Linked DNA regions of Mus musculus. The main gene of each other region encodes a partner of the protein of the gene in region 7 in a complex. Links are inferred from orthologs where the notes say so. Each region holds a gene or a part of one and is shown on either strand. Other genes may lie near its edges.

What was found.
Region 1: the proteins of Sfn (region 7) and Anpep are in contact, whole or in part, in a crystal structure (PDB 7AEW), measured with the Homo sapiens proteins. The link is inferred for Mus musculus from reciprocal best matches to the Homo sapiens genes SFN and ANPEP. Residues at the interface, in NP_006133.1 of Homo sapiens: Asn42, Ser45, Val46, Lys49, Arg56, Lys122, Arg129, Tyr130, Gly171, Leu174, Asn175, Val178, Glu182, Leu222, Asn226, Leu229, Trp230; in NP_001141.2 of Homo sapiens: Ala60, Ser61, Ala62, Thr63, Thr64, Leu65, Asp66.
Region 2: the proteins of Sfn (region 7) and Cdkn1b are in contact, whole or in part, in a crystal structure (PDB 7ORG), measured with the Homo sapiens proteins. The link is inferred for Mus musculus from reciprocal best matches to the Homo sapiens genes SFN and CDKN1B. Residues at the interface, in NP_006133.1 of Homo sapiens: Lys49, Arg56, Arg60, Arg129, Tyr130, Glu133, Leu174, Asn175, Val178, Glu182, Leu222, Asp225, Asn226, Leu229, Trp230; in NP_004055.1 of Homo sapiens: Arg194, Arg195, Arg196, Gln197, Thr198.
Region 3: the proteins of Sfn (region 7) and Ripk2 are in contact, whole or in part, in a crystal structure (PDB 7OBS), measured with the Homo sapiens proteins. The link is inferred for Mus musculus from reciprocal best matches to the Homo sapiens genes SFN and RIPK2. Residues at the interface, in NP_006133.1 of Homo sapiens: Lys49, Arg56, Arg60, Lys122, Asp126, Arg129, Tyr130, Pro167, Gly171, Leu174, Asn175, Val178, Tyr181, Glu182, Ile219, Leu222, Asp225, Asn226, Leu229, Trp230; in NP_003812.1 of Homo sapiens: Leu535, Gln536, Asn537, Lys538, Ser539, Met540.
Region 4: the proteins of Sfn (region 7) and Kcnk9 are in contact, whole or in part, in a crystal structure (PDB 3P1P), measured with the Homo sapiens proteins. The link is inferred for Mus musculus from reciprocal best matches to the Homo sapiens genes SFN and KCNK9. Residues at the interface, in NP_006133.1 of Homo sapiens: Lys49, Arg56, Arg60, Lys122, Asp126, Arg129, Tyr130, Glu133, Gly171, Leu174, Asn175, Val178, Glu182, Leu222, Asp225, Asn226, Leu229, Trp230; in NP_001269463.1 of Homo sapiens: Lys369, Arg370, Arg371, Lys372, Ser373, Val374.
Region 5: the proteins of Sfn (region 7) and Notch4 are in contact, whole or in part, in a crystal structure (PDB 7OR3), measured with the Homo sapiens proteins. The link is inferred for Mus musculus from reciprocal best matches to the Homo sapiens genes SFN and NOTCH4. Residues at the interface, in NP_006133.1 of Homo sapiens: Lys49, Arg56, Arg60, Lys122, Arg129, Tyr130, Glu133, Gly171, Leu174, Asn175, Val178, Glu182, Leu218, Gln221, Leu222, Asp225, Asn226, Leu229, Trp230; in NP_004548.3 of Homo sapiens: Arg1914, Arg1915, Phe1916, Ser1917, Ala1918, Gly1919, Arg1921.
Region 6: the proteins of Sfn (region 7) and Rela are in contact, whole or in part, in a crystal structure (PDB 7O6I), measured with the Homo sapiens proteins. The link is inferred for Mus musculus from reciprocal best matches to the Homo sapiens genes SFN and RELA. Residues at the interface, in NP_006133.1 of Homo sapiens: Glu14, Tyr19, Leu43, Ser45, Val46, Lys49, Asn50, Gly53, Gly54, Arg56, Lys122, Arg129, Tyr130, Gly171, Leu174, Asn175, Val178, Glu182, Ile219, Leu222, Asn226, Leu229, Trp230; in NP_068810.3 of Homo sapiens: Ala43, Gly44, Ser45, Ile46, Pro47, Gly48, Arg50, Ser51.

The regions. Positions count from the first base shown.
Region 1 is NC_000073.6:79,838,183-79,841,865, forward strand, and holds part of Anpep (aminopeptidase N), read right to left. Parts: coding exon 3,456-3,683; intron 3,047-3,455; coding exon 2,904-3,046; intron 2,828-2,903; coding exon 2,691-2,827; intron 1,347-2,690; coding exon 1,220-1,346; intron 1,136-1,219; coding exon 981-1,135; intron 820-980; coding exon 706-819; intron 609-705; coding exon 465-608; intron 297-464; coding exon 231-296; intron 126-230; coding exon 60-125; intron 1-59. UniProt on the Homo sapiens protein: Broad specificity aminopeptidase which plays a role in the final digestion of peptides generated from hydrolysis of proteins by gastric and pancreatic proteases.
Region 2 is NC_000072.6:134,918,845-134,923,227, forward strand, and holds the start of Cdkn1b (cyclin-dependent kinase inhibitor 1B), read left to right. Parts: upstream 1-1,556; 5' UTR 1,557-2,075; coding exon 2,076-2,550; intron 2,551-3,111; coding exon 3,112-3,230; 3' UTR 3,231-3,239; intron 3,240-4,383. UniProt on the Homo sapiens protein: Important regulator of cell cycle progression. Inhibits the kinase activity of CDK2 bound to cyclin A, but has little inhibitory activity on CDK2 bound to SPDYA. Involved in G1 arrest. Potent inhibitor of cyclin E- and cyclin A-CDK2 complexes.
Region 3 is NC_000070.6:16,122,182-16,125,767, forward strand, and holds the end of Ripk2 (receptor-interacting serine/threonine-protein kinase 2), read right to left. Parts: intron 2,406-3,586; coding exon 2,244-2,405; intron 1,711-2,243; coding exon 1,373-1,710; 3' UTR 560-1,372; downstream 1-559.
Region 4 is NC_000081.6:72,509,536-72,513,218, forward strand, and holds part of Kcnk9 (potassium channel subfamily K member 9), read right to left. Parts: intron 3,510-3,683; coding exon 2,584-3,509; 3' UTR 1-2,583. UniProt on the Homo sapiens protein: K(+) channel that conducts voltage-dependent outward rectifying currents upon membrane depolarization. Voltage sensing is coupled to K(+) electrochemical gradient in an 'ion flux gating' mode where outward but not inward ion flow opens the gate.
Region 5 is NC_000083.6:34,570,630-34,574,312, forward strand, and holds part of Notch4 (neurogenic locus notch homolog protein 4 precursor), read left to right. Parts: intron 1-1,107; coding exon 1,108-1,221; intron 1,222-1,866; coding exon 1,867-1,980; intron 1,981-2,048; coding exon 2,049-2,171; intron 2,172-3,119; coding exon 3,120-3,279; intron 3,280-3,683. UniProt on the Homo sapiens protein: Functions as a receptor for membrane-bound ligands Jagged1, Jagged2 and Delta1 to regulate cell-fate determination.
Region 6 is NC_000085.6:5,643,950-5,647,632, reverse strand, and holds part of Rela (transcription factor p65), read right to left. Parts: intron 2,309-3,683; coding exon 2,228-2,308; intron 2,121-2,227; coding exon 2,046-2,120; intron 834-2,045; coding exon 217-833; 3' UTR 1-216. UniProt on the Homo sapiens protein: NF-kappa-B is a pleiotropic transcription factor present in almost all cell types and is the endpoint of a series of signal transduction events that are initiated by a vast array of stimuli related to many biological processes such as inflammation, immunity, differentiation, cell growth, tumorigenesis and apoptosis.
Region 7 is NC_000070.6:133,599,975-133,603,677, forward strand, and holds Sfn (14-3-3 protein sigma), read right to left. Parts: upstream 2,195-3,703; 5' UTR 1,796-2,194; coding exon 1,049-1,795; 3' UTR 582-1,048; downstream 1-581. UniProt on the Homo sapiens protein: Adapter protein implicated in the regulation of a large spectrum of both general and specialized signaling pathways. Binds to a large number of partners, usually by recognition of a phosphoserine or phosphothreonine motif.

The DNA.
Region 1 (3,683 bases), on a different chromosome or scaffold from region 7:
CATGCTGTCCCCAGGGACTTTGGGCCTTGGTACCTGAATGGAGAAGGCTTGTTACCCACCTTTTGCAGGTGTTCCCACAGGTCCAGATAAACGGTGTTCGAGTACTGGTAGGTGTGGAGATAAGACTGTGGAGATGACAGACCTTGTTAAGGGCTGGGTTATACTCAGGCCTGTGGAGGGTTCTGCTGGGAAAGCCACCATGCAGAGGGGTCGCCTGGAGCTGTACTCACTGAAAGGCCCTTCTTAAACAGGTCCTCTGTCAGGAAACTGGACAGCATCCTGATGACTGAGGCTCCCTGGGGTTGGATGAGAGGGGGCTCAGCAGGCCAAGCTGGCCACCAGGGTCAAGCATTCCCAGAGTGGCAGGCAGCTGGGATGAGGCTGCCTGAGGGATGCACTCCTTCCCACCCCAACTCCGTGACTCCCGGGGGTGAGGGGGGTGGGCAGAAGCCAGGAGGCTTCACCTTGCTGTAGGTGATGCTGTCAAACAGCTCCATGATCTGGTCTGGTGTTTTGATCTCGTCAGCAGGACTGGACAGTGGGTGGGAGGAGGCAAGGGCATCCACGGCCATCACACGGTACACATCATTCAGTACCATGAGGTCTTTCTGTGGAGTCCCCAGATGCCATCAGGAGCTCAGAAGGGGTGTGTCACAGACACTCCCGCTCTTCCACCTCGGCCCAGCTCCCAGAATGGAGACTCACCAGATTCCAGGTAGGCTCTGCATAGTCAGCACCCAGATATTCCACGTAGGAGGCAAAGCCCTCGTTCAGCCACAGATCATTCCACCAAGCCACAGTCACCAGGTTGCCAAACCACTGCAGGGGACACAGACGAGCCGTTGAGTCTCACAGGCCTTGCCATCACTAATCACATCCAACCACGCGCCGGCTGTCTGCTGGCACAGGCCAGGTGAGGACCTGACACCCCCCCCCACCCCGAGGCTTTGCTCCTTCTTGGGGCTCCCACAGCTGCCCACCTGATGGGCCAGCTCGTGAGCAATCACAGTGACCACCCGCTCCTTGTTGCTAATGGAGGAGGACTGAGAGTCAAAGACCAGGGAGCTCTCACGGTAGGTCACCAGACCCCAGTTCTCCATGGCTCCAGCGTTGAAGTCAGGCAGGGCAATCTGGTCTGTGGAAAGGATCCCGGTGTCAATGGGAGGTGTCTGAATGGGCATCCTGGCACTACCTCCATGTAGGCCCCATGGTCACTTACCAGACTTTGGTAGAGGGTAGGATGTATTATAATGTTGGGCAAAGAAATTTAGGATGGGGCCTGTAACGTTCAGTGCGTAATCACCCTGGCCCTCATCAATGGCACTGGGCCGAGCCCAGATTCCAATCTGCAGAATGAGAGGAAGGAGGTCAGGTTTAGGGTCCTCTGGGATCATGAGAAAAATGGGTAGAGTCCCAGGATACAGGGAGCTAGAGGTCCCTGATAAGTCAGGATGGAGACCAACTAGATTAAACAGAGGAAACCGAGCACGGTCACATGCCTGTAAATTCAGCATTTAAGAGGCCAAAGCAGGAGGGTCACAAGTTCAAGGCCAGCCCAGGCACCTCAGTAGACCTGGTCTCAATATTTAAAACAGAGGGGTAGATGGATGGCTCAGTGGCTGTGCGGACTAATTTTATGTCAACCTAAAAGGCTAGAGTCATCTGGGAGATGGAACCTCACTTGAGGCCATGCTTTCAGAAGATCTGGCTGGAGACAAGCCTGTAGAGTATTTTCTTAATCAGTGATATTAATGTGATGAGGGTCCAGCCCATTGTGGGTGTTGCGACCTCTGGGCTGGGTGGTCCTGAGTTCTAAAGAAAGCAGGCTGAGCAAGCCAGGAAGAGGAAGCCAGTAAGTAGCACCCCTCCATGACCTCTGTACCAGCTGCTGTCTCCAGGTTCCAGCTCTGCTTGAGTTCCAGCCTGACCTCCTTCAGAAGATGGACAGCTACATGGAAGCATAAGCCAAATAGGCCCTTTCTTCCTCTGTTTGCTTTTGGTCCCCGTGTTTCATCACAGCAATAGTAACCCTAACTACAACGGTGGTCAAGAGCTCTTCAGGAAGATCTGAGTTCAATTCCCAGCACTCACTGTTTGTAATAGGTAATAACTGTTTGTAACTTCAGTTCCAGAGGACCTGATGCCCTCTTCTGGCCTCCAAGGCATAGAAGTGGTACATGGACGTACGCATAGGCAAAGCACCCACACACAGAAAATAAATTTGTTCTTTTTTTTTTTTTTTTTTTTTTGGTTTTTCGAGACAGGGTTTCTCTGTATAGCTCTGGCTGTCCTGGAACCAGGCTGGCCTCGAACTCAGAAATCTGCCTGCCTCTGCCTCCCAAGTGCTGGAATTAAAGGCGTGCACCACCACGCCCTGCCAATAAATTTGTTCTAAATTAAAAGCAAGGCACCATTCGTGGTGGCACACAACTTTAATCTCGGCATTGAGGAACAGAGACAAGTGGGTGTCTGTGAGTTTGAGGCCAGCCTGTTCTACAGAGCAAGGTTCAGGACAGACGTTCCTCAATTTTACACCTGAGAAACTGTCTAGAAAGCAAAAGAGTTCTTGGGATCACTCATAGCTGAGATTCAACAGCCTAATAATTCAGAAGCTAGCACTGAGAAGATCTGAGAAGGTCCCTCAAGCCAGGGCCAGATCCAACTCATGACATACAGTCCCAGTTTCATACCTGGACACCATTGGCTGAGACGGAGCTTATATTTTTGAACTCGCTCACGATGTAGGCCAGCAGGTATGTGGACATCTTAGGGGTGGAGTGGAACTCAGTCATGGTGCAGGAAGGGTCTTCCGGATAGGGCTTGGACTCTGGGCATGGGATATGTAAGTGTGTGGGCTTCCTGCTCTGCCCAGTTCAGGGCAAACCCAGGACAGCCAGGCTCACCTTTGGGAAGCATATTAGACAGAGCTATGAGGTTGTTGGGGTAGATGAGTGTGATGTTGAACATGGCCTTCATGGCTGGCTCATCAAAACATGGAAAGGATTTCCGAGCATCAGCAGCCTGCATCTGCGTTGTAGCCACCACTCTGTCCAAAGCAGTGTTGTTAGAGAAGGAGTAAGGAGCATAGTTTTAGGGTACAGAAGATGGCTGCCCCAACCTGCTTACTCCCCTTCACCCAACCCCACACAGCCTCAGGATCCTGACCAACAAGCTGCCTTGGGAGACAAAAGCTTCCAGATGCCATCTAAGCCCTGGCAGGCTTCACGCCAGTGTGAGCCGAGGTGGGTCCCGGACAATTTTCTCTCTTCTGAGCCTCAGTATTCCTGTCCATCCAAGGAACCCTTTCATACCACAACCCAGTACCCCTAGGAACTGCCTCCCCCTACAGATGAGCAATGGAGCTACTGAGGTCTCCTGAAGTCTCCAACCTCTCCCTTTCCATAAGCCCCAGATGCAGCCCTGTGTCAGACCGTGCCCACGCCCTTGAACCTTACTTCTTGACGTCTCCTTCCATGTACTCGCTGCGGTAGAAGCCAGCCAGGTCATCAGCCAGTTCCCCCTGGAACTGGCTGTCCATCTCGTACTGACGGCCCTCTACCAGGGACCCCTGCAGGTGCACCACCAGGTACTCAGTACGCTCTACCAGTTCCGTTTTGTCAATGTTAGGTGCCGGAGTGCCGTCCAGGGTTCGCAACACCACCCTGTGGTTTCCTTTGAGGGTG
Region 2 (4,383 bases), on a different chromosome or scaffold from region 7:
AAACCTATCTAAGAACTTTCTGGACTGTTACATTTTGAATGCAGGAGGCAAGGCACACACACACACACACACACACACACACACACACACACACACACGTGCACGTGCGCGCGCGCGCGCGCACACACACACACACACACACACACACACATCCTGGCAAAGATGTGGCTAAGAAAACAAGTCAATATTCAGTCTCACCTACACCAGAGGAAGATAGGAAAACCATGCTTCTTTGGGACACTAAACCAGAAATTTAATTTCCTGTAACATGTTTTGTGTTTAGCGCAAACCAAGACTGTTTGGGAATACTAGTGGGCAAAGCCCTTAAAATCTCACTGAACTCTGAGATACGACAGGCCTGGCTATTCTGTTTTAACTTCTGTCACTGTGCTCAGCAGTGATAGAGAAATGTGAAGTTGCCCAAGGAGCTGAAAAAAACCCACCCAACATTACTAGATGTTGGTAATACCGTGGTGGTGGTATTATAAATCACTTGCAAATCTAGTCTTAGATCCTTAGGAAAGTGTTTTCGCCCTTTAACAACCTGCAGCTCTCTAAAAGTATTTGCTTGTATTTGAATATTGTACTGAGTAGGTTGGAAGCAACAGGCTGGTGGGAGAAAAAAGAGAAGGAAGGCACTGTTGTAGTTGGCGTCTGGACTCAGGTGGAGGGAACGGCTTCGCCCGGGAAAGAACATAAGGGTATAAAGGCGAGTTCCCACACGCTATAGCAATGGCTTTCACTGTGCTTAGGAACCAAGAAAATCAGAACTGGCTTTTTCTGATTTCTGTCTGGGACGGCTCTAAAGAGAGGCTTGGGAGAGCACTGGGGGTTTTCAATCTCGAGATCCTACGGTGGAAGCGCTTGGATTCAGAAACACCCTGATAAGAGCGGTCAGTCCTGGCTTCTTTTTGAAACCACCTCCTGGCCTGTCCTACATAGCAGAGACTTCTGGGGTCAGGCTAAGCGGCCGATTCCGCACCCCAGCTAAGGCACCCTGCCGGGTGGGGGTGGGTGGGCTGCCCCAGGCCCTGAGCCAAGGTTTCCTGAATCTCTCGCATACCCTCCTCCATTCCCACCTCGGCGAATGCAGGTGGGCTGAACTAGCCACCGAAGCTCCTAATAAGCCGCCAGCGACCTAGGAGCCCACTGGTCCAGGCCCTAGGTTTCGCGGGCAAAGACCTGGAGGTCGCAGTCGGGAGCGGTGACGCGCCTGCCAGCGCAGCTCTGCAGCGCCGGGACCTAGATCCCCGGGTCCCTGCCTGGCCGCCGCGCTGGCCCCTCCCCAGCTCTCCGGCCGTTTGGCTAGTTTGTTTGTCTTATTTTTAATTTCTCCGGGGCCAGCCAGAGCAGGTTTGTTGGCAGTCGTACACCTCCGAGTAGTCACGCGACCAGCCAATGTCCTGGCGGCGCTACGGGGAGGCGGCGCGCTCGGGAGCGCGGAGAGGCGGCGGCGCCGCGCCCGGGGCCACCTTAAGAGCGCGCTCGCCAGCCTGGGCGGAGCGGCTCCCGGCGCCGAGACCAATGGAGCTCCTCCTCTGTTTAAATAGACTTGCAGTGTCAATCATCTTCTTCTTCGTCAGCCTCCCTTCCACCGCCATATTGGGCAACTAAAAAAGGAGGGGGGCTCGTGCTTTTGGGGTGTTTTCCCCCCTCATCCCTTGTCCCGACTCACTCGCGGCTCCGAGACTCGCGCGGCGGCAAGGTTTGGAGAGGGGCTGCGTTCGCGGGACACACGGGCTCGCCCCAGCCTACGCTCCGACTGTTTGCCACCTCCTCCTGCCTCCTCCCCTCCCTTCCCCGCCCTCCAGTACACTTGATCACTGAAGCCTCGAGCTGCGCGGCGGCTGGGGTGTCCCTGCGCCTCTCTTCCCCAGACCTGCGCGCTACTGCGGCTCGGGCGGTCGCTCGCCTGGCTCTGCTCCATTTGACTGTCTGTGTGCAGTCGCAGAACTTCGAAGAGGGTTTTGCGCTCCATCCGTGGCGTTTCGCTTTTGTTCGGTTTTGTTGTTTATTTCATTTTTTTTTTTCCGGAGAGAGGCGAGGCGGTGGTCCACACCCGCCCGAGGAGGAAGATGTCAAACGTGAGAGTGTCTAACGGGAGCCCGAGCCTGGAGCGGATGGACGCCAGACAAGCGGAGCACCCCAAGCCTTCCGCCTGCAGAAATCTCTTCGGCCCGGTCAATCATGAAGAACTAACCCGGGACTTGGAGAAGCACTGCCGGGATATGGAAGAAGCGAGTCAGCGCAAGTGGAATTTCGACTTTCAGAATCATAAGCCCCTGGAGGGCAGATACGAGTGGCAGGAGGTGGAGAGGGGCAGCTTGCCCGAGTTCTACTACAGGCCCCCGCGCCCCCCCAAGAGCGCCTGCAAGGTGCTGGCGCAGGAGAGCCAGGATGTCAGCGGGAGCCGCCAGGCGGTGCCTTTAATTGGGTCTCAGGCAAACTCTGAGGACCGGCATTTGGTGGACCAAATGCCTGACTCGTCAGACAATCCGGCTGGGTTAGCGGAGCAGTGTCCAGGGATGAGGAAGCGACCTGCTGCAGAAGGTAGTGACTCTTTGGAAAACTTAAAATGTCTGTCTGTCTGTCTGTCTCCGTAAGCGCCCCTTTACTAGACCCTGTTCACTTGCTTTCTCCAGCGTGTTCTGCTTTAGCTCTGGGAAATCGAACTTGTTTGAAGCTTAGGTTTGACATACCCCCTATCCGACTGCTTGCCCTGTTTATGATTTTGAAGTCAGAAGCCGGAGATAGTAAGATGTGATAACTTCCGTAGCCGAACGCATCACAGTTCCTCCCCTCTAGCCAGCTGTAGATACGTGACAAAAGTTCGGATGTTTACCAACTGCCTCCTCCTTGGCTGGGGTGGGGGGGTGGGGGTGGGGATGGGGGTGGGGAAGAGACGTGGGGTGTAGAATACTCCTTGTGTTAGTGGGAACAACCTTATTTTGTGTCCTTAGATGCTACCGGGGATGACGGGTCCAGGGGTCGTGGGTGGAGGTAGTGAGTGGGTTGTTCATCCCTTGGGCCTACTTCTGTCAGCCATTGTTGTCGATAATAAAGATGGTTTGTGTGTGTTCTCTTAAAAATTTCCCCTTGCCCCCCTCTTAGATTCTTCTTCGCAAAACAAAAGGGCCAACAGAACAGAAGAAAATGTTTCAGACGGTTCCCCGAACGCTGGCACTGTGGAGCAGACGCCCAAGAAGCCCGGCCTTCGACGCCAGACGTAAACAGCTCCGGTGGGTTAATGAGGAAGAACACAAAACTGACACCCCATCTGGGCTGCGCTCCCCGGGGGGCCTGCAGACCCCAGGACTGCTGGCAGATTAGTTGCCTGCCAGGAGGAATTACTTTCCTTGATCAAAAAAATTAACACTGGGGAAGGCTGGAATCACTTGAGGGGACTATAATGCAGTATTTGCACCCCAAGATATTTACCTTAAAGTGGAATCAGAATGAGGTTCCCAAGCAAGAACTTGCCACCAAGGCCCCAAAGGATAGGGACGGTCGTATCCTTATGAATCCCACTAAAACTTAGGCTGGGAATGACAGTTTTCCTTTCCAGTCTCAGTTCATGAGAACCCATTTCCCAGAGGTTCGTTTTGAGCCAATAGCCTATTTTGAACCATTTGAACTGTAGAAAAATGGCAAATATATACTTACATGTATGTTCTTAAGAGAAAAACTAGGTACCCATAGTGCACGTTTGATTAGGAGTGTGAATAGAGCTGCCGTGGCTCGAGTTCTTTTTATCTTTTGCTTTTGTTTTGGTTTTTGGTTTTTTGAGATAGGGTTTCTCTGTGTAACAAACAGCTCGGGCTATTCTGGGAATTGCTCTGTAGACCACGCTGGCTTCGAACTCACAGAGATCTGTATTGTCTCTGCCTCCTGAGTGCTGAGATTAGAGGTTGTGTGCCATCACCTCTGGGTACTTTTTTATTTTTTTTTAAAGTTGTGCCTTGTATGCTGGTAAATTTTGGAGAGAAAGGAACTTCATACTTAAAAAAAAAATTAGACTGGAAAGTTCAGAAGTACTAATGCTCCCACAGAATTGATTTTAACCCTGAGGTTACAAAGCAGAAGTTAAATGAACAGCTAGAGGAAGCAGCCTTCCCACACGTCAGCACCGTATGCTAATTTGCTGGAACAGGACGGTTTGGATGTTTATAGGGGAAATGGATAGTAGATGTTAGGACCAACTGAGAAGGTCCAACACAAGTGTGGATTTTTCCATGTGTCAAAAATCTCATCACCCCACTTGCCTAATTAGAGTAACCCAGCCCCTAAATTTACATAGATTGACTATTCATATGCTCTAACTACTTATAATAGTTTATAAGCTCCTTATGAAGAAAACCAGCATTCTCTATTTCTAAAGCCCAC
Region 3 (3,586 bases), about 120 Mb from region 7:
CCCATAAGAGTCACATCAAAAGTTAATGTCATTTTAAAATTGCATTTAAATTCTTTAAACATCTTCCCATATAGATTCATATATATACATATGTATATATATATATATATATGTATATATACATATATATATATGAATGATTGTTTTGCCTGCATGTAAGTGCACTGTACACCTGCCTGGTGGTCTTAGAGACCAGAAGAGAGTCTAGTTTCCCTGGAACTGGGGTTATTGCTGGTTGTGAGGCATCATGTGGGTGCTAGGAGCAGACCCTGGTCCTCTCCCTGAGCAGCCAGCTCTTAAATGCTGTGCTCAGACATCTCTCCAGTCCTGCTGTTTACATTCTTATTTCAAATTAAGGAATATTTCATTGTCTCCATATGATCTAAGTCCTAATTCAGATTGTTTTAGGTTATGAGTCTGGTGCGTCTTGCAAGTTTGAGTTTTCAAATTCATTCTGTTTCTCACTTTCTTCTAACTGTTAAACAGTTTTCAGAAAAAGGTATCACTTTGTATAGTTTCCCTTTACTGACATACGCTAATTACCAGAAGATAAAAAGAATGCACACTGTATTGCCTTTTTATTGTTTCTCGTCAAGTTGATAAGAGCAATCTTGGAAAATCAAACACAGAGAGGCGTGGCCGACATGCGGTGATTGAACGGAGTTAGCTGTGTGGAGGAGTGTACCTGCCTTCAGTTCAAAAACCATGGTGTTTTACAAAGAAAATAGCTAAGTAAAGGTCGGCTTCTACCCAACCCGCATATGCTTAAAACAGGAGCCGGAAGCAGGCTGCAGCAGGATGCACAATGGGCTGCTCGCTCTGGAGACAGACAGGAGGCAAAAGTTAAGCAGAGGTCCACGGCTGGCCAGTGTTAATTTTTTCTCCCCCGCTTCTTTATATACTCTACATTCCTTGAGACCACCTGCTAAAGAATTTGTAAGTCAAACTTAAAACCGAGTAACTCTTTGGAGATCTGAACTTGGGATTGGCAAATGGGGAGCCTGAATCACTGCTATGTAAAGTCAAACTGCACTCTAGACGAATAATGAGGAATCCGCAGAGAAGGTGAGTGTGAAAGTGTCTTCCATCAGAAACAAAGGCCACTTTAAGGCACTGTTACATACTAGAAAAATGTAATTATCACATAAAAAGTTCAAGTAGTGAAACTGACGTAAAAACTGAACTACACAGCATAAAGCAAACTTTTTACTTATATTAATTTAAAAAAATACTGCAACGTCATGGGAAGAGACTCTTCCATCAACCTTCAGTGAAGCGTCTAATACTCTCATGTTTTCTATACAAATATTATACAGGTAACAGAAATATAAATAACCATTTGTAAACTGACTTCCTCCCAAAGAAGGCCCCCTTACAAGCTTTTATTCTGAGGGAAATTTGAAGGCGGTGCTTTGGAAAGCACAGGTACTTCTGGGTAAGGCTGCAGCCCCAGCTGCTTGTTATCTTTCAACTTCTGCACTACAACTTTGGCAAACTCTTCTCCTTGGATGTCAGACGTATCTAGCAGCTGTCTGACTTTTGAGGTCCTTGTAGGTTTGGTGCTAATGAGTTCATAGTCCTCCTTCATGATCAGGTCACGAGACAGAAGGGCGTCCAGCGATTGGTTAAGGCAGGCTTCAGTCATCTGGCTCACAATGGCTTCCCTCTTACTCTGGATCCACTGTTGGGCTATACCAATTGGTGGGCGCTCTGCAGCAAAGCAATGCATGAGAATTACCAAGCTGAGGATACGTAGAGGCAATGAGTGTAATTCTGTGTGAATGTGAGTAAGCAGAACTCTCATTCCCGTATGACTGCGGGTGTGAAGAGTATTATTTGAAAGTGCTTCTATTATCCAGGAACTATCAAGAGACTTGAGTTTTAGCTCCCCATTCACCTTCCAGAAAGAGTATTATATTTTTATATGCTATGTTGTAGGGCAAAATGACTTGAATTTTTGTTTAGTTTCAAATATAAAGGATACCTGCCGATGTGATAAATGAAAACAGTTTCGCCTTTACTAACACTGAAAGTAACGCTGCTTCTTCCCACTTCCTTCTAGGTCAGACATTCCTGGAATGCATTTGGTCAGCACTGAGTCTGGAAATGCTCTCCTACTTAAACAAATACTTACTGAAGTATGGAATGAACACTAAGAAAACATACTATATGGTGAATCCATGCACTGCGTACTTGTAGGGTAAACACCAACATTTGCAGTATAACTCACAGCATACACTCACCTGAACCTTTCTCAACCAAGAATGGACTTATTACAGCCAAGGAACACGAGGAGGCCCTGCGATCACAGAAGGCTGCCCCTGGTGGTACAGAAACGATACCATCCCAGCTGTGGTTTCCAGGACAGTGGTGTGCCTTCAACGAAGAGCAGTCTTGAGGTGCTCCTACAGGACAGTTCATTACAGGTAGAGTTTTCATTAGATAAAATACCAATGGGTGGGTCACACAGAAGGTAGGCTCTAACGGCTTTGGTTCTGCACTGTTATTGAACCTACTTCAGAAATCCAATTCTGAAAATACTTGAAATATTTTTTAGTGTGTGTGTGTGAAGGTCAGAGGTCAACATGTAGACGTCAGCTCTCTCTCTACCCTGTGAGTTCAGATGATCAAATTCAGGTTGCTGACATGGTGGGAAGTACTTTTACACACAGTCATCTTGCCAGCCCTGCAAATACTTTTTAGAGTAATAAACATTTATACTGAATGTTTTTTTCTTACTATCAGTGCTTGCCTGGTCTATGCTTATAAATCATAATTTCCCATCTTCTCACAGTCTCATACTTCTTCCCTGTGAATTCCCCCTTTTCCACTTTAAATATGTCTTATGTATATCTGTCAAATACATGGACTTTTAAGTGTAATAAATCTGTACTTGACATGTGTTTTCTACTTTCTCCTTTAGAAAACAATTTCAGTGCTCCAACTGTTTATCCTACTTCAAGCTTATGTAATTATCTTTCTGTCACCATTGAACACCCAGTCCCTTCAACATTCTCAGAGGCTCACTGCACATCACCTCCCCAAAGGGCACTGATGACGACTCAAAGACTCAAACAAACATAACATAAAAAAGGTGTAAATCTTAATCATCATCTGTCTTAACCCTAGCCCCACTTTAGTCCTTAGTTCTAACGGCTGTGAGTGCTCACAGCTTAACAATGTAGCACTCAGTCCTTAGTTCTAACAGCTGTGAGTGCTCACAGCTTAACAATGCAGCACTCAGTCCTTAGTTCTAACAGCTGTGAGTGCTCACAGCTTAACAATGCAGCACTCAGTCCTTAGTTCTAACAGCTGTGAGTGCTCACAGCTTAACAATGCAGCACTCAGTCCTTAGTTCTAACAGCTGTGAGTGCTCACAGCTTAACAATGTAGCACTCAGTCCTTAGTTCTAACAGCTGTGAGTGCTCACAGCTTAACAATGCAGCACTCAGTCCTTAGTTCTAACAGCTGTGAGTGCTCACAGCTTAACAATGCAGCACTCAGTCCTTAGTTCTAACAGCTGTGAGTGCTCACAGCTTAACAATGCAGCACTCAGTCCTTAGTTCTAACAGCTGTGAGTGCTCAC
Region 4 (3,683 bases), on a different chromosome or scaffold from region 7:
AAGCTGAACTGGCAATAATTAGCCAAAGACGTGGGAGGGCTACAAGGATGATAACCAAGTACAAGTTGCTACATTACTTCTATCAGTAGCTATCACATAAGGAGGAAAGAGAATTCGCTCTACAGCCCTTTACCTTGCAGAAGGAGGGGGGGTTACTTCTGTGAGAATATAGAAGGTGTTGTCTATATTCCTCTGGGAAGAAAAGATGTACCTGTCATTCGATCCTTCCCACACAATGGTCACTGTGTGACCACTTCACACAGATGCATGAATGGGAAGCTAGCTCTAAAGATAGGCTGAGCCTATGTCCCTCTGACTTGACTCCTGAGCCTAATGCTTGGCCCTGTGAAGACACCGAGCAGGATCTGTCCTCCACTGTAGGACTGAGTCAGGACACCTTGGTGTTGGGAAGTCCACCTTCTGGACCCTTCTGGGTAGGAACTGAGAGTGGATCCTTGGTTCTCTCAGTGCCTCAACACCATGTACAGATCAGAGGTGATCACACATACCTACCCACCATTTGAAGGAAAATCTTACAACAGTCTCAGGGGAACTCCTACATGTGTTCCAGGAAACCTCCTCCGAGGCATAAAGTACTCTGCATATAGGCATCAGGAGTGTCACGTTTGTGACCCAAAAGAGCCAACAATCTCTTTGCAGAGCAAAAAAAAAACATTCAAGAATAGTGATTGCTTCTATTCTCTGGACAGACTTGAGAGCCCTGTGCAGGGCATTCCACACAACAACATCTCAAACAAGTGAACTGAGAAAGACCTCGAAGTTGGAATATGTCAACTTTGGCCAAGAGAGTCTAAGGTTCACAGACTCCTTTTGAAGGTCCCGTGTCCTAGACGAAGGGAATATTTCAACAAGGGGTGTAGCATTAAGTGCATGCATTGACTTTCCAGAGGAGTCCTGGATGCTCCTGGTTTCAGCCCAATGGCACACATGCTTGGGACTGGTGGCATTTGGATGCTGTGTCCTTTAAGAAATCTTGAAGACCAGTAAGTGCGCTCCTTGTGCGTGCGTAGTGTAGCCAAAGCCCATTTCCATCCAAAAGCCAGGAACTTCCAGTGTGCGAAAAAGGAGTGGGAGGATGAGTGAATGGGGTGACTTTTAGAGATGGCAGGGATGGCGATGAGAGAAATTAGAGTCCCTCAGTGACTATGGAGGCCAAGCTGCCCTCGGACTCCTGCGATTGAGAGGGCCTGCATACGAGGTGCCATATTCTCTAGCCTAAGCTGTCCCCTCCAGGGTCATCCTTTATTGAGAGCGGGGAGGAATATCTCGACTACCTAGACAAAGCATCCCCTGAGCTTGACAAGTTCCCAGCAGGCCAAGATACAGCCTCTAAAACGTTCCTGAGACCAACATGAACTTCTCCCTATGTACAGATCAAATGCATTTAGAGACACTCGTTCCTGAAATATATACCTCTCTATATATATTTAAACAAGGAATGCCCTGTCGCTTTCTTATTAGGAAAAGAAAAACCACATCACCATTCTGATACCCATTCTCATCCAAGCATTCCAAAACTGGGACTCTACTCCACGCAGGTAGAGACTTCACAGAGCTCTCCCCGTCAGAGTCATTCTTAGGAAGAGGGAAATAATAAAATAGATACTCTTGGGTCCCACCTATTTCCCTGTTTACCTTGACATCTCCAGCTGCAGGGAAAACTTCTGGAACTAGAAATGCTGAAAATTCAATAGGTCTTCCATAAGTTGACACTAGTGGCTTTACGACTACTCCTCTGTGATCTCTGCTTTCTTGTGTCAATGATGCATACCAGTTCCACAAAGTGCATGATTCTTAAAGATTTCATTTAAACTGGCAGGGTAAACCTGTAGTCTTGCCTGCCTACACCCTGAAGAGAAGTGAATGAGATTTAGACGCTATGGCCATCTGATTCATCTTGGGTTAAAAGTGCTTTGTGGGATGTGCTCAATTTGGCAAGGTTGATAAATCCAACCTTGCAGGGTTTAGCTAGTTTGGAAGCAGCCTCTAGGAGACTGCGTATGAAATTGTATGCGTGAGAAGGGAAGTGAATGCCTGATCCTTTCCACCTTGTCGCACAACACACCTGCACACAGAAGCGCACACGCTCATATTACACACGCGTACACACAGCCACCCAGTCCTTGGGGGAAGAAGAGAGGAGTTAGGTCGGAGACATCACTACGGGTAGTCAGTCAAAGACTTCAGTTGGCCATCCTCCCAGCTCTGTCTTGGTGCTCCTGTTCTCACACCTGTCCTAGGAAAGCCACCCCAGAGAGAGGAGGCAGGGTGGGGAGAAATGTAAGGCATAACTCTGGTGGGGAGAAAGGAAGGAATCCATGCTTCATGCTCAGGTGCGAGCTTCAGAGAGGATGGGCCTCTATTTTCCCTTTGGACAGCTCTGCCTGGCTGGAAAGGCCGGAAAGAAATGAAACCAGGAAAGGAGGGAAGAGAGAAAGGAATGATGATGACCGTAAGCACAAAAAAAGAGAATAATAATAAATAAGGAGGGAAAGAGGAGTTGGGACAATGAAACTTACATCTGCATGACAAATGATTCTTCCATGTACTTCCCTCCCACACTTAGATGGACTTGCGACGGAGGTGCAGCCTATGGTCCCCGCAGGTGTGCATTCCAGGAGGAATGGCGCCGAAAACGGACCGGAAGTAGGTGTTCCTCAGCACGTCTGGAGGGATCTCTTCAACCCTGCAGGAAACGGTGTGGACGGTAGCCCGGACACTCCTGATAGTGGCACCAGCAGCCACAGCAGCAGGAGCAGGCGCAGGAGCAGGAGCAGGCGCAGGAGCAGAAATAGGAGCAGTAACAACAACATTATCGACGACATCATCATCATCATCATCGTCATCATCTTTACCCCAGTTGGTACCAGGGAAGCAGAGATAGCACAGGGTTCTGCCGTATTTCCTGAGGAAGTACATGGCGTGGTGCCTCTTGCGTCTCTGAGGCGCACGGACAGACACTCTTCTTGGATTTCCAGCAAGAATCTCCGCAACTTCTCCCTCCAGTAGCTCCTCATCGGTATTCATGGTCAGGAATCGCAGGACCACAAGATTGAGGAAGGCACCGATGACGGTCAGGCCCACCAGGATATACATGAAGCTGAAGGCCACATAGAATGGCTTCCTCTGCAGCGCACCCTTGGCCTGCAGGGCCACAAAATCGCCGAACCCTATAGTAGTCAATGTTATGAAGCAGTAGTAGTAGGCATGGAAGAAGCTCCAATCTTCACACTGGGAAAAGGCAGCCGCCCCAAGGCACAGGGTGCCCATGCAGGAAAAGAAGCCGACGGTCACCATGTTCTCCATAGAAACTTCAGTGTTGCGCATGCCACAGCACTTCTTGATACGTTTCAGCAGGTAGCGCACGAAGGTGTTCATGCGCTCGCCCAGGCTCTGGAACATAACCAGCGTCAGGGGGATACCCAGCACAGCGTAGAACATACAGAAGGCCTTGCCAGCATCAGTTCCAGGTGCAGCATGTCCATATCCTATGGAAAGGAGGAGAAGAATGGGAACAATAGTTAGGAAAGGTTCTGTGGGGTTCAGATACAGAAACATCAGACATTTCGAACAGACTGGAGATTAGAGCATAAAAGATGAAAAAAATAAAAAATAAAAAGGACCATTTCAAGAGTCACATAAGTGCCGGGGCAGGAGGGATT
Region 5 (3,683 bases), on a different chromosome or scaffold from region 7:
CCATGTAGAGATGAAGTGCAGAGCATTGAAATACCACATGGGCGGTGCACCTGGAATTGGTGCAGTAGCAGAGGGATGCTGGAAGGCTCCCAACACCATGCCCACCATGACCGTCTTATCAGAGAAGGAATCCCCATCTCATAATTAAGAAACTGGACACAAAGAGGGGGAGTGACTTACCCAAGGTCACGCCTCCAGTGAGGAGCAGAGTCCAGCCTCCACCCGGGCTTCAGCAGTGCTGACCTCCCCACCCCACTCCCTACTGGATGCCAGGCATCACCCATGCATCGTGGCTCAGGCCATGCATAGACATGCACAGAGACGTGGGAAAATTGTTCGGTCATCCAAGGGACAAGTTACATGAATCGAGGGTGTCGAGGCAGATCCCCAGGAAAGGGGGGTGGGGCAGGGAGGTGAGGAGGCTGACCATGAGGTCATGGAGACCAAGATAAACCTAAGGGTGGAAAATGGGAGCCACTCTTCTGTCCTAATGCCTTTCTTCAAATCCTCCTCCTCCACACCATCACTACTGCTATAACCATCAAAACCATTATGGCCACAACCACCATAACCAACAGCATCCCCATCTCCATAACTACCACCACTTTCACCACCACCATCACAACCATCACAACCACCATCACTACCATCACCACCAGCAGGAGCACCACCATCTTACCACCATCATCACCACCACCAGCAGCACCACCATCTCCACCACCATCGCTCCCACCCACGGTACAGAGGCCTAGATAGTACATGAGGGCTGAATCACCCTCCAGGCAGATGTCCATTTCCCATCTGTACTTCAAGAATCTCCAGGCTGGGCAGCCCATGGGCAAGCCCCACCCTCTTAGGTACACAGAAAGGACTTCAAAGGCACTTCCTCTCAGCCCCCTGCAGGTCCCCTGCTCCCGGAGCCTTAAGCCTGGGGGAGACAGATGTGTCCACCCCACACACACACACACACACTCAGTGCTCATCAAGACAGCACAAGCAGGGGGGATGGGGGGTTCTGCAAGTCCAAGGCTTCAGAGCCTAGGTGCCCCAGGCAGAAAGCCCACTGGCCCTGGCTGAGGCCATCTCTCACCCCATCTGTGTCCTCAGGCTTGGAAGGGAGGCTCTGTGAGGTGGAGGTCAATGAGTGCACCTCTAATCCCTGCCTGAACCAAGCTGCCTGCCATGACCTGCTCAACGGCTTCCAGTGCCTCTGCCTTCCTGGTGGGTGAAGATTCTGGCCAAGACAACCTCAGTCCCCTGGGAACCTAGAGACCATCCCCCTGCCCCCAAAGCAGCTTGTGTTTCTCCTCCTCCTTTTTAGCTCCCCCAACTCTTCCACCCATTCCCAAGCCTTCCCTTGCTTACACCCCAGCCTCACTTCTGTCTATGAAAAAGTGAGTACTCTATCTGCAAGTACACCTGCGCGCCAGAAGAGGGCGCCAGATCCCATCGTAGATGGCTGTGAGCCACCATGTGGTTGCTGGGAATTGAACTCAGGACCTCTAGGAGAGCAGCCAGTGCCCTTAACTGCTGAGCCATCTCTCCAGCCCAGGGACAGATTCTTTCTGTATCAATGCTGGGGACAGGAGGCAGGGTCTCACACATGCTGGGTAATCACTCTGCCTCTTAGCCATACTCCCGGCCCAGGCTCCATCCCTACTTCTTACACAGGAAGAAATGAGAGCTGGAAGGGAAACTGGGTAGCTTGCCCACAGCCCAGCAGCCTAGTCGCCAGCAGGGTCTGAGCTCCACTCTCTCCCGTGTTGCCCAAACGCCTAGAGTCTCCTCAGAAGACCCACCTTTGTTCACCCTGTGCCTCTCTGCACGTCCTTGAGCACCCTCCCTTCCCATCCCCTCCCCCACCAGGATTCACCGGCGCCCGATGTGAGAAAGACATGGACGAGTGTAGCAGCACCCCCTGTGCCAATGGGGGGCGCTGCCGAGACCAGCCTGGAGCCTTCTACTGCGAGTGTCTCCCAGGTAACTGAGGCTCGGTCGCTAGGGGAGGGGACCATCTGTGCGATTCCTAACCCACCCCTCTGCCACAGGCTTTGAAGGGCCACACTGTGAGAAAGAAGTGGACGAATGTCTGAGTGACCCCTGCCCCGTGGGAGCCAGCTGCCTTGATCTCCCCGGAGCATTCTTCTGCCTCTGCCGTCCTGGTTTCACAGGTCAGGAGACAAGAGAAAGAACTGGGAGGGTGTGTGAGCCCACTGCAGGTGGGGAGGAGGCCCCTGGCGGGTGTTAGGTGGTCAGGATGACTAAAACAGAATGAGAACGGCCTTCTGTGCACTGGCCAGGGAGAGCTAGGAGCGTGGCTTGGAAGCAAAGACCTCACTGAATATGCAGGAGTCCCTGGGGTGCCCAGCACTAGAAAAAAACCAGGACAGGATGAATAAATAAGCAAGCAGGTAAAAGCAAGCAATCGTAAACTGACAACCTGCGCTCGGAACTCAGAATCCAGGGGACATGGATGGCAAGAACGGACTCTGCAAAGTCTGACCTCTACTTGTGTGCCTATGGCCCATGCATGTCAGCATACACACACACCACACACACTACACACACACACCCTCACACCACACACATACCACACAGTCATACACACACCACACATAACACACACATACTCACACAAACACACAAACCACACACCTACTCATACACACACATCAAATGCACACACACCCATACACATCACACATACCACACATTTCACACATACACATACCACACACACTCACATACCACACATACACAGCTCACACACCACACACACATACATACACACCTCACACACACCACATACATCATATGTACACACACACCATACCACACACACATCATATGCACACACACCACACGAACACTCACATACTCATACACACACATACACACACAGACACACACACACACAAACAGGACACGATCATACACACACACACTCGGAGCACAGCGAGGTACAGCACAAAGACAAGGACATAGGAAGAGAGAGTGAAAGTGAAGAAAGGACTTGTGCACAGTGAGGAAGCCACACCTGGAGGTGGCCTTTGACCCCCTCAGGACACAAAGGGACTTTCTTTCCTCGTAGACTCATCTCCCCAAACCCTTCCACACAGGTCAACTTTGTGAGGTTCCCTTGTGCACCCCCAACATGTGCCAACCTGGACAGCAATGCCAAGGTCAGGAACACAGAGCCCCCTGCCTCTGCCCTGACGGAAGTCCTGGCTGTGTTCCTGCCGAGGACAACTGCCCCTGTCACCATGGCCATTGCCAGAGGTAACCCCTTCCAACCTTCCTTCCATCATGCCTCAGCTAGGATGAACAGCAGGGGCGGGGGGCAGGCCGGTGGGATAGGACCAATGGAGGAACAGGAAGGAGACACCAAGCTTCCTTGGGCAAGAGAGGGCACAGCTGAGGAGTGGTACCTAAGGAGGGGAGGTTTGAGCATCGCAAAGGAGGTAGAAGAGGGTCAGAGCACAGAGGAGACTGGCTTCAGCCCTCCCTACATTAATACCTATGGGCATCTTCCTGTGGACACTTCCCAACACAGGGCAAAACAGGTGTGTTGTCACCTGCCTGGAATCCAAGGAAAGGCAGATGGATCTGCGCCAAGGCCACACTCCACTAAATAGTGAGCTCTGAGGCTAGCCTGGGCTACAGGAGACCCTGGAGAGAAAGGG
Region 6 (3,683 bases), on a different chromosome or scaffold from region 7:
GGGATGCACCGAGTCCTCCCAGCTCCGTCTCCAGGAGGTTAATGCTCCTGCGAAAGCACCTCCGAAAGCGAGATAAAGAGTAAAACGTGCCGCCCCAGAGAGATCACCCAAACAAGTCGGGGGCAGCTGGAGCACACTCCCCAGAATGTGTACGCACTTCGGGAAGGCTTCAGTGCCCTGAAACCTGGTGCTCTGAGCAGGGTCGCTGTCAGCACCTTAGGAGCTGATCTGACTCAAAAGAGCAGAGAAGTCCATGTCCGCAATGGAGGAGAAGTCTTCATCTCCTGAGAGACCATTGGGAAGCCCCGAGGTCCCCAGGGGTGTGGGAGCTGGGTCAGGGGGCCTCTGGGACCCTGTCACCAGGCGAGTTATAGCTTCAGGGTACTCCATCAGCATGGGCTCAGCTGTGGAGTGAGACATGGACACACCCTGGTTCAGGAGCTGCTGAAACTCTGAGTTGTCCACAGATGCCAGGTCTGTGAACACTCCTGGGTCTGTGCTGTTGCCAAGCAAGGCCCCCAAGTCTTCATCAGCATCAAACTGCAGGTGCAGCAGGGCTTCCGACAGCGTGCCTTCCCCAGCCTGGGTGCTCTTTGGAACAGGTGCAGACAGGGACTGGGGAGGACCCGGGGTTAGAACTGGGGCAGGAGCTGGGGGCTGAGCCAGAGGTACCATGGCTGAGGAAGGGACCATGGTCTGGGCAAGGACTGGGGCAGAGGACGGTGCCAAGGCCAGGGCCTGGTTTGAGATCTGCCCTGATGGTAACAGCATGGGGGAAAACTCATCAAAGTTGATGGTGCTGAGGGATGCTGGGAAGGTGTAGGGCTGCGGGGCTGGAGAGAGAGACAAAGAACAAAGGCTCAGAGGCAGTGAGAGACATACACGGCCCCTCTGCCACCACCTGACCCAGCTCTACCATGCTTAGAATCAGTACCTTTCTGGGAACCAAAATCTGACCAGGCCTGTAGGGTCCACTTCCAAGGGCCACAGTGAGGTGTTCCCTAGCTACTGCGGTCATAAAGCTCTCACCATGTTACAGCTGCAAAGCCAGCGAAGAGGATGAACCATGGAGCACGGGCTCAGTGGTGGGAGTCTGTCACTCTTGTGAGCCACGCACCAGAACCCACAACCTATTAATTTTTTTTTTTTCAGTTTTTCAAGACACGGTTTCTCTGTGTAGCCCTGGCTGTCCTGGAACTCACTCTGTAGACCAGGCTGGCCTCGAACTCAGAAATCCGCCTGCCTCTGCCTCCCAAGTGCTAGGATTAAAGGCATGCGCCACTACCACCCAGCCCAGCTTAATTTTTTAAATAAATGTTTTTATTTGTGAGCATTTTGCCTGCTTCTATGTATGTGCACTGCATGCGTGCAGCGCCCTTGGCGAGCAGCTATAGCTAGAGACAGCTGCTGAGAAGAGAACCCAGTGCCTTTAACCGAGCCATCTCTCTAGCCCCACAACTGATTACTTTAGAGGTGATTTCTTCTTTCTCAATTCAATGGAGAGCTGAGGGCAGAGACATTTCCAATGTCTGTATCTCAAGGTATCCAACTCAGGGATTATTTAGTCCCTTGGTACCAAATATTGAATCTAGGGTCTCTGGTGCTAGGCATGCGCTCTACATGAGCTGTACCGTATCCCTGCTTTTACTTTTAAAGCTGAGACAGGGTTCTTCAAACTGACCTTAAACTTAATAACCTTGTAGTCCAAGATGGCCTTGAACTTGTGACCCTCCTGCCACACTCTCTTGAGCAGCAGGGAATAAAGGGCTCAGGGTTTGACAGGAGCATGGCTTCTGACTTCTACTGACTTTAGGAAATGGCCAGTTCCTGTGCCACACTTTCAAAGCCTTGAGTTTATCAGTCTGTGACAAGAGCCCTGGATGGTCCTGGCAGAGACCCCGGCCTCCCCCTGAGAAGTCCAGGCCCCATGGAGAGCAGATTTCAGAACTCTGCAGGTGAGACCAATTTGGTCCCCTTCTAGAAGATACTACTTCAGTCTGAACAAATGAGACCCTCATTCTAGAAAAAGAAAAGGACTTCCTTACCTGGCTTGGGGACAGAAGTTGAGTTTCGGGTAGGCACAGCAATACGCCGGGTTGGAGGCCGGGGTTCAGTTGGTCCTACAGGGCAAAAGCTAAGTCAGCTTTCAGACCCCGGGTGTCCTCTCACTGACTCTAGGACTTGGCTGGCCTGCCCACTCCTCTCCCTCAGGCTTTCCTCATCTCACCATTGAAAGGACTCTTCTTCATGATACTCTTGAAGGTCTCATAGGTCCTTTTGCGCTTCTCTTCAATCCGGTGGCGATCATCTGGGAAAGCAATATGGATGGTGGGTTTACTCTCCTTAGCCGGGCTGCACTTCTCCCTTCTATGGGCTCTCCAGGAGGGTAGTGGAGTCATAGTTTCCTAAGACCTAGTCTCCCAACCAGTTAAGAAGGGATGTGTGACCTTCAGAGAAGGGTCTGTTGGTTGAATCCTCTTCCCCCCTGGTTTTTTGAGACTGTCTCACTATATACAGTCCTGGCTGTCCTGGAACTACACACACCAGACCAGGCTGACTTCAAACTCACTGAAATTCACTGCCCTTCCTCCAAAGTGCTGTAACTAAAGGTGTGGGCCACACAGCCAGCCTTGTTGGTTGTCTTGACCCCTGCTCTGGGGGACAAGAGCCTAGCACGCCATCTGAGCTGCTCACAGAAGCATCCACGTAGGTGGAGAGGGAAGTGCTGTGGGCAGAGCATCACAGGCCGAAGGCTCCAGACTCAGCTCAGTGTATGGCTTCTTCCTTTAGTTTGAAGCTTCAGAATTATTTGACCACCTCAGCTGCACACCGTCTAGGTGAAGCAGTATTTCACACCAGGGCACTGCTTCTTTCCCCTGTGTCTCCCTGTCTGTCCTGGCACCCAAACTGCAACCTGGAACAATTCTGAACATCATTTTTTCTTTCAATCCTCCAATACTAACTCAACACCACTTGCCAAGCACCTACTAGCAACTGGAGATGAGTAAGCACACAGAGATTTAGTCATCAAAAGGGGACCTTAAAAAGTACCAGGATCCAGAGAAACCTTGTCTCAAAAACAAAACAAAAAACAACAAAAGTGCCAGGATTCCTTTTGGCTGTTGAAGTCTCAATTCCCCCACCCCACCCCCACAGGAAAAAAAAAACACCCTAATTTATTACATTTATGTGCGTGTGTGGCCAAACAGTGGTGGTATATGCCTTTTAGGAGGCAGAGGCAGGTGCATCTCTGAGTTCAAGACCAGCCTGGCATACAAAGTGAGGTCTACGACAGCCAGGGCTGCACAGACAAATCCTGTCTCGAAAAACAAAACAAACAAACAACAAAAAACCCCAAAGCCCCCAAAACATTCATGTGTGCATGTGTGTTGCAACAAGAGGTCAGAGACAATGTGTGAGAGTCACACATTGAACTGTCACACTCTGAACTGTCTCCTTTGATCACGTGGGTTAAACAGAGGTCCTCAGCTTGACAACTCTGTCTTTTTTGAGACAAGATCTCATGTAGCCTTGGAGAGCATCAAACTTCCTATGTAGCTGAGACTAGCCCTCAACTTCCGATCCTCCTGTCTTCACCTCCCCAGTGCTGGGTTACAAGTGTCAGCACCACACCTGGTTTGAGGGTTACTAGGGACTGAATTCAAGGCCTCGTACATGCTAGG
Region 7 (3,703 bases):
GTGTCGCTGCCTGCCGGGCGCGCAGGCCGTGGGCTGCTCAGCCCAGCTCCCTGCGGCTCTTCCCACCCAGCTCGCGCCCGCTCCTCTTCAGCCGATTTCTTTTTGTCCCTGGGCCTTGGGGAGCTTTCCCTTATTTGATCTGTTTTATTGGAGGCACTATGCCCCTGCCTCAGATTGCACCCCTCGGCTCAGATCTGAGCACTTGACGTGACCGTTTCCCGCTTCTTAAAGTGAGGTCCCCAGTGCCACTTGTGAAGCGTGTCTCTTAAGGCCACTGTGCCCAAACTTCCCTGACTTCGCGGCTTTCCCGCCTACAGCCCCCACTCTCCTCTGCTCTCCTGACCTGCCTCTGTGCTCACCTGGCCTGAGCCGAAGCGCTGCGGGGACTTCCTGGTGGCCTCTCACCTGAAGTCACCCTACCCAAAATTTCCAGGTCACCGACACCGACCCAAAGGCTCGTCTCACTTCCAGGTCACCCAGACAGCCCCAAGGGACAGACCTAGCTCAGAGTTTCAGAGTCCGGTTCTCTTAACTCATTTCTAATTCTACTCTCAACCCATGGCCAATAACTGAAGAAGACCGAGTGTCACAGGGCAACTTTATTGAGTGGTAGCATGGTCACACCCAGCAAACGTGTTCCCTCTCATTCACTCTCTCTCTCTCTCTCACACACACACACACAGAGTTTCCCTCTCTCTCACACACACAGCCCTTGCCACAGTCCAGTTCTCAGCCACAGGGTGGGGAGCCTCCTGGATTATTCGGATCCAGAAGCAACAGGTGCCCGAGGGAGGCTCAGGGGGAGGAAGTGGGGAGGGGGTGCAGAGAGCAGGGGTGGGATGGGTTGGGAACACCCACCAGACAGCTACACGAAGAGTGAGATTCCCTGCCCTGGTGGCTTCAGCTTGGCTGCGCCCCCTTCAAAGGAGCCTTCCAAGGTGTGGCTGAACATTCAGGGTTTGGGAAGGGCAGAGTCCCACTCCGTTTTAGTCCTCTCTGCAGGCTGGGGACTGGAGGGCAAGGCGAGCCGGGGTGGTTGTCGGCTGCTTCAGCTCTGGGGCTCCTCCGGAGCCTCACCACCCTCTTCCCCAGCACTGTCGGCTGTCCACAGCGTCAGGTTGTCTCTCAGGAGCTGCATGATGAGGGTGCTGTCCTTGTAGGAGTCCTCACTGAGGGTGTGCAGGTCGGCCATGGCCTCGTCGAAGGTGGTCTTGGCCAGCGAGATGGCCTCCTCGGGGCTGTTGGCTATCTCGTAGTGGAAGACTGAAAAGTTCAGGGCCAGGCCCAGGCGGATGGGGTTGGTAGGCGGCATCTCCTTCTTGCTGATGTCCATGGCCTCCTGGTAGGCTGACCGGGCAGAATCGATGATGCGCTTCTTGTCATCGCCAGTGGCCACCTCGGCTAGGTAGCGGTAGTAGTCACCCTTCATCTTCAGGTAGAAGACGCGGCTCTCTGCATCTCCAGCCCCTTTGATGAGGTGCGAGTCCAGCAGGCCGAGTACGGTGTCGCACACACCTCTGAGCTCGGTCTCTACCTTCTCCCGGTACTCTTTCACCTCGGGGCCCTTCTCTTCTGACCCCTCCTCGTTGCTCTTCTGCTCGATGCTGGACAGGACCCTCCAGGCCGCTCTCTGGCCGCCCACCACGTTCTTGTAAGCTACGGAAAGCAGGTTTCGCTCCTCGCAGGAGAGCTCCTCGCCCTTTTCCACGGCGCTCTTCATGAAAGCTGCCATGTCTTCATACCGTTCGGCCTGTTCAGCCAACTTGGCCTTCTGGATCAGACTGGCTCTCTCCATGACTGCGAGGATGGACAGACAGACGGGCGAACTGGCTGTCTCGAGAGTAACGCTGGGTTCTGCGGCTCCCTTGCTCTGGCTCTGCCTTTTGGCTGGGGTGGCATGGCCCTGAGAAGAGTTGGGCGTGGTCTGAGCGGGCCTGGGCCCTGCCTCCTCCTAGTCTTCGCCACACCCTTTCCGGCTCTACCTTTAAGGTAAAAGGGCTGGGACGGGAGGGGGCTGTGAGTCACCAGGACAGTCAGCAGGAGAAACCTGGCCGCAGGTCCCACCTGCAAAGGCACCTTTCGGCTCCAGACTGCCCCCTGCAGTTCAGGGCTGGCTGCATTGCAGGAGCGTCTTGGATTACCAAATCAGATTGTCTTTCAGGGTGATCTTCCAGGCTTCAGCCACCGAGCTGCTTTAGCCCAGGCAGAGCCCAGGGAGCTGGGACAGTTCAGGTGAGAACTCATGTATAGGTAGGGCTGTACAGTTTCCCCCAAACTTGCGCATCCATGATCTGATGCAACTACCCCCAACCCCCGAATTGGCTCTGTAGGACTGTAGAGGTAGAACTATCAAGTCTCAGGGGTGAACCAAACCAGTTTGAGGTCACAAGCTGCCAGCTCCCTTAAACCCCTCCCCCTCCGTGTCCCCTCTTCCTCTTGGCTCTCTTTGGGGGCCATTAGCTGAGCCGGCCTGAAGATAGCTCCATCCCTTGGTCCTTGTTCTCCCTCAAGATGCCCTATGAACACCCCAGATGCGCAGGTGGCATCTCAGGGTGCCACTTAATGAAGTGTTTAACGAGCGGCCTCTGACGCTCCAGCCCAGCCTTTGTAATTAGTCACCCAATATGTTTGTTGGACACCTTCCCCCTTACAGCACAATTTTCCCTTTCAAGTTGGTGGCCTGTTGACACTTGTCTGAGACTTTACTCTCTGGTTCTCCACATCGGGTCACCCGTCCCTTCCAAGCTGCCTGTCGTCATGTATCGGCAGGGTTCCCAGAGGGTGGGGGCCTAACTCTTTGACTGTCCCACTCCCCTGCCTGACTCAGATTACCTCTGTCAGAGGCTGGGAAGCAGGCCACCTGGGTGCTCAGTCCAGTTTGGTCCCCCAGGGGGGACGCTATCAACCTGGGGAGGAAGACAGGGCTGAGGGAAAGGAGCTGGGAATGGCACATTCCATTTTGTTTTATGGCGCAGTGTGTGATTCCAGCCCAGTATGATCCCTCACTTGGCTCCCAGAGGTTCTCAAGTCCCTTCAAGACTCTGCCTCTGACCCCTGAGAGAAGTCTCCTTGGAGATGGAGATCACTTTGTTCCCAATCTTCCATCCCTGATTGGTTGGGCCCTATTTTCAAGGCCCATGATAAGAATGGGCACTGAGGGTGTGTTCCTGCTTATGTGCCCCACCACATTCTTCAAGTTTAGATGGGACTCCGTGGTTCCTTCTAAAGAAGTTTCTTCCTAGGACCCAGCCAGTCTAACCCTTGAAGCAGGACTATTGCACAACCTTGCCTGTCTCCTCACAGTGTCTGAGCACTCGCCTTGCCTCCGGGAGAGGTGTTGTAGGCCAGAACCCTGAACAGGCTGGAATGTGCTTGGGCCACGGAGTAGGGGCTCTTGAGAGACTTCAGGGTCCTGGCTAATTTTACAGGTTCTCCCAGGAAGCAGATGGGATTTCTGTCCTGAGATCTTGCGTGCTTTGCCTAACTCATGGCACAGGCACAGAACTACAGTAAAACATCAAGTTAGGGAAGACCACGGTAGTGTACGGCTAGAGTCTGAGCATTTAAACTCACACAGGGGACATGCCAGTTGGTGACTGGCTTTGCCACAAGGGAAACATGTTACCCCCACCCTGGGGAAAAGCAGAGGCTGGGAGTGTGTCTTGGTTGGTAGAGTCCCTGCTAGTGTGTATGGAGTTTGCTC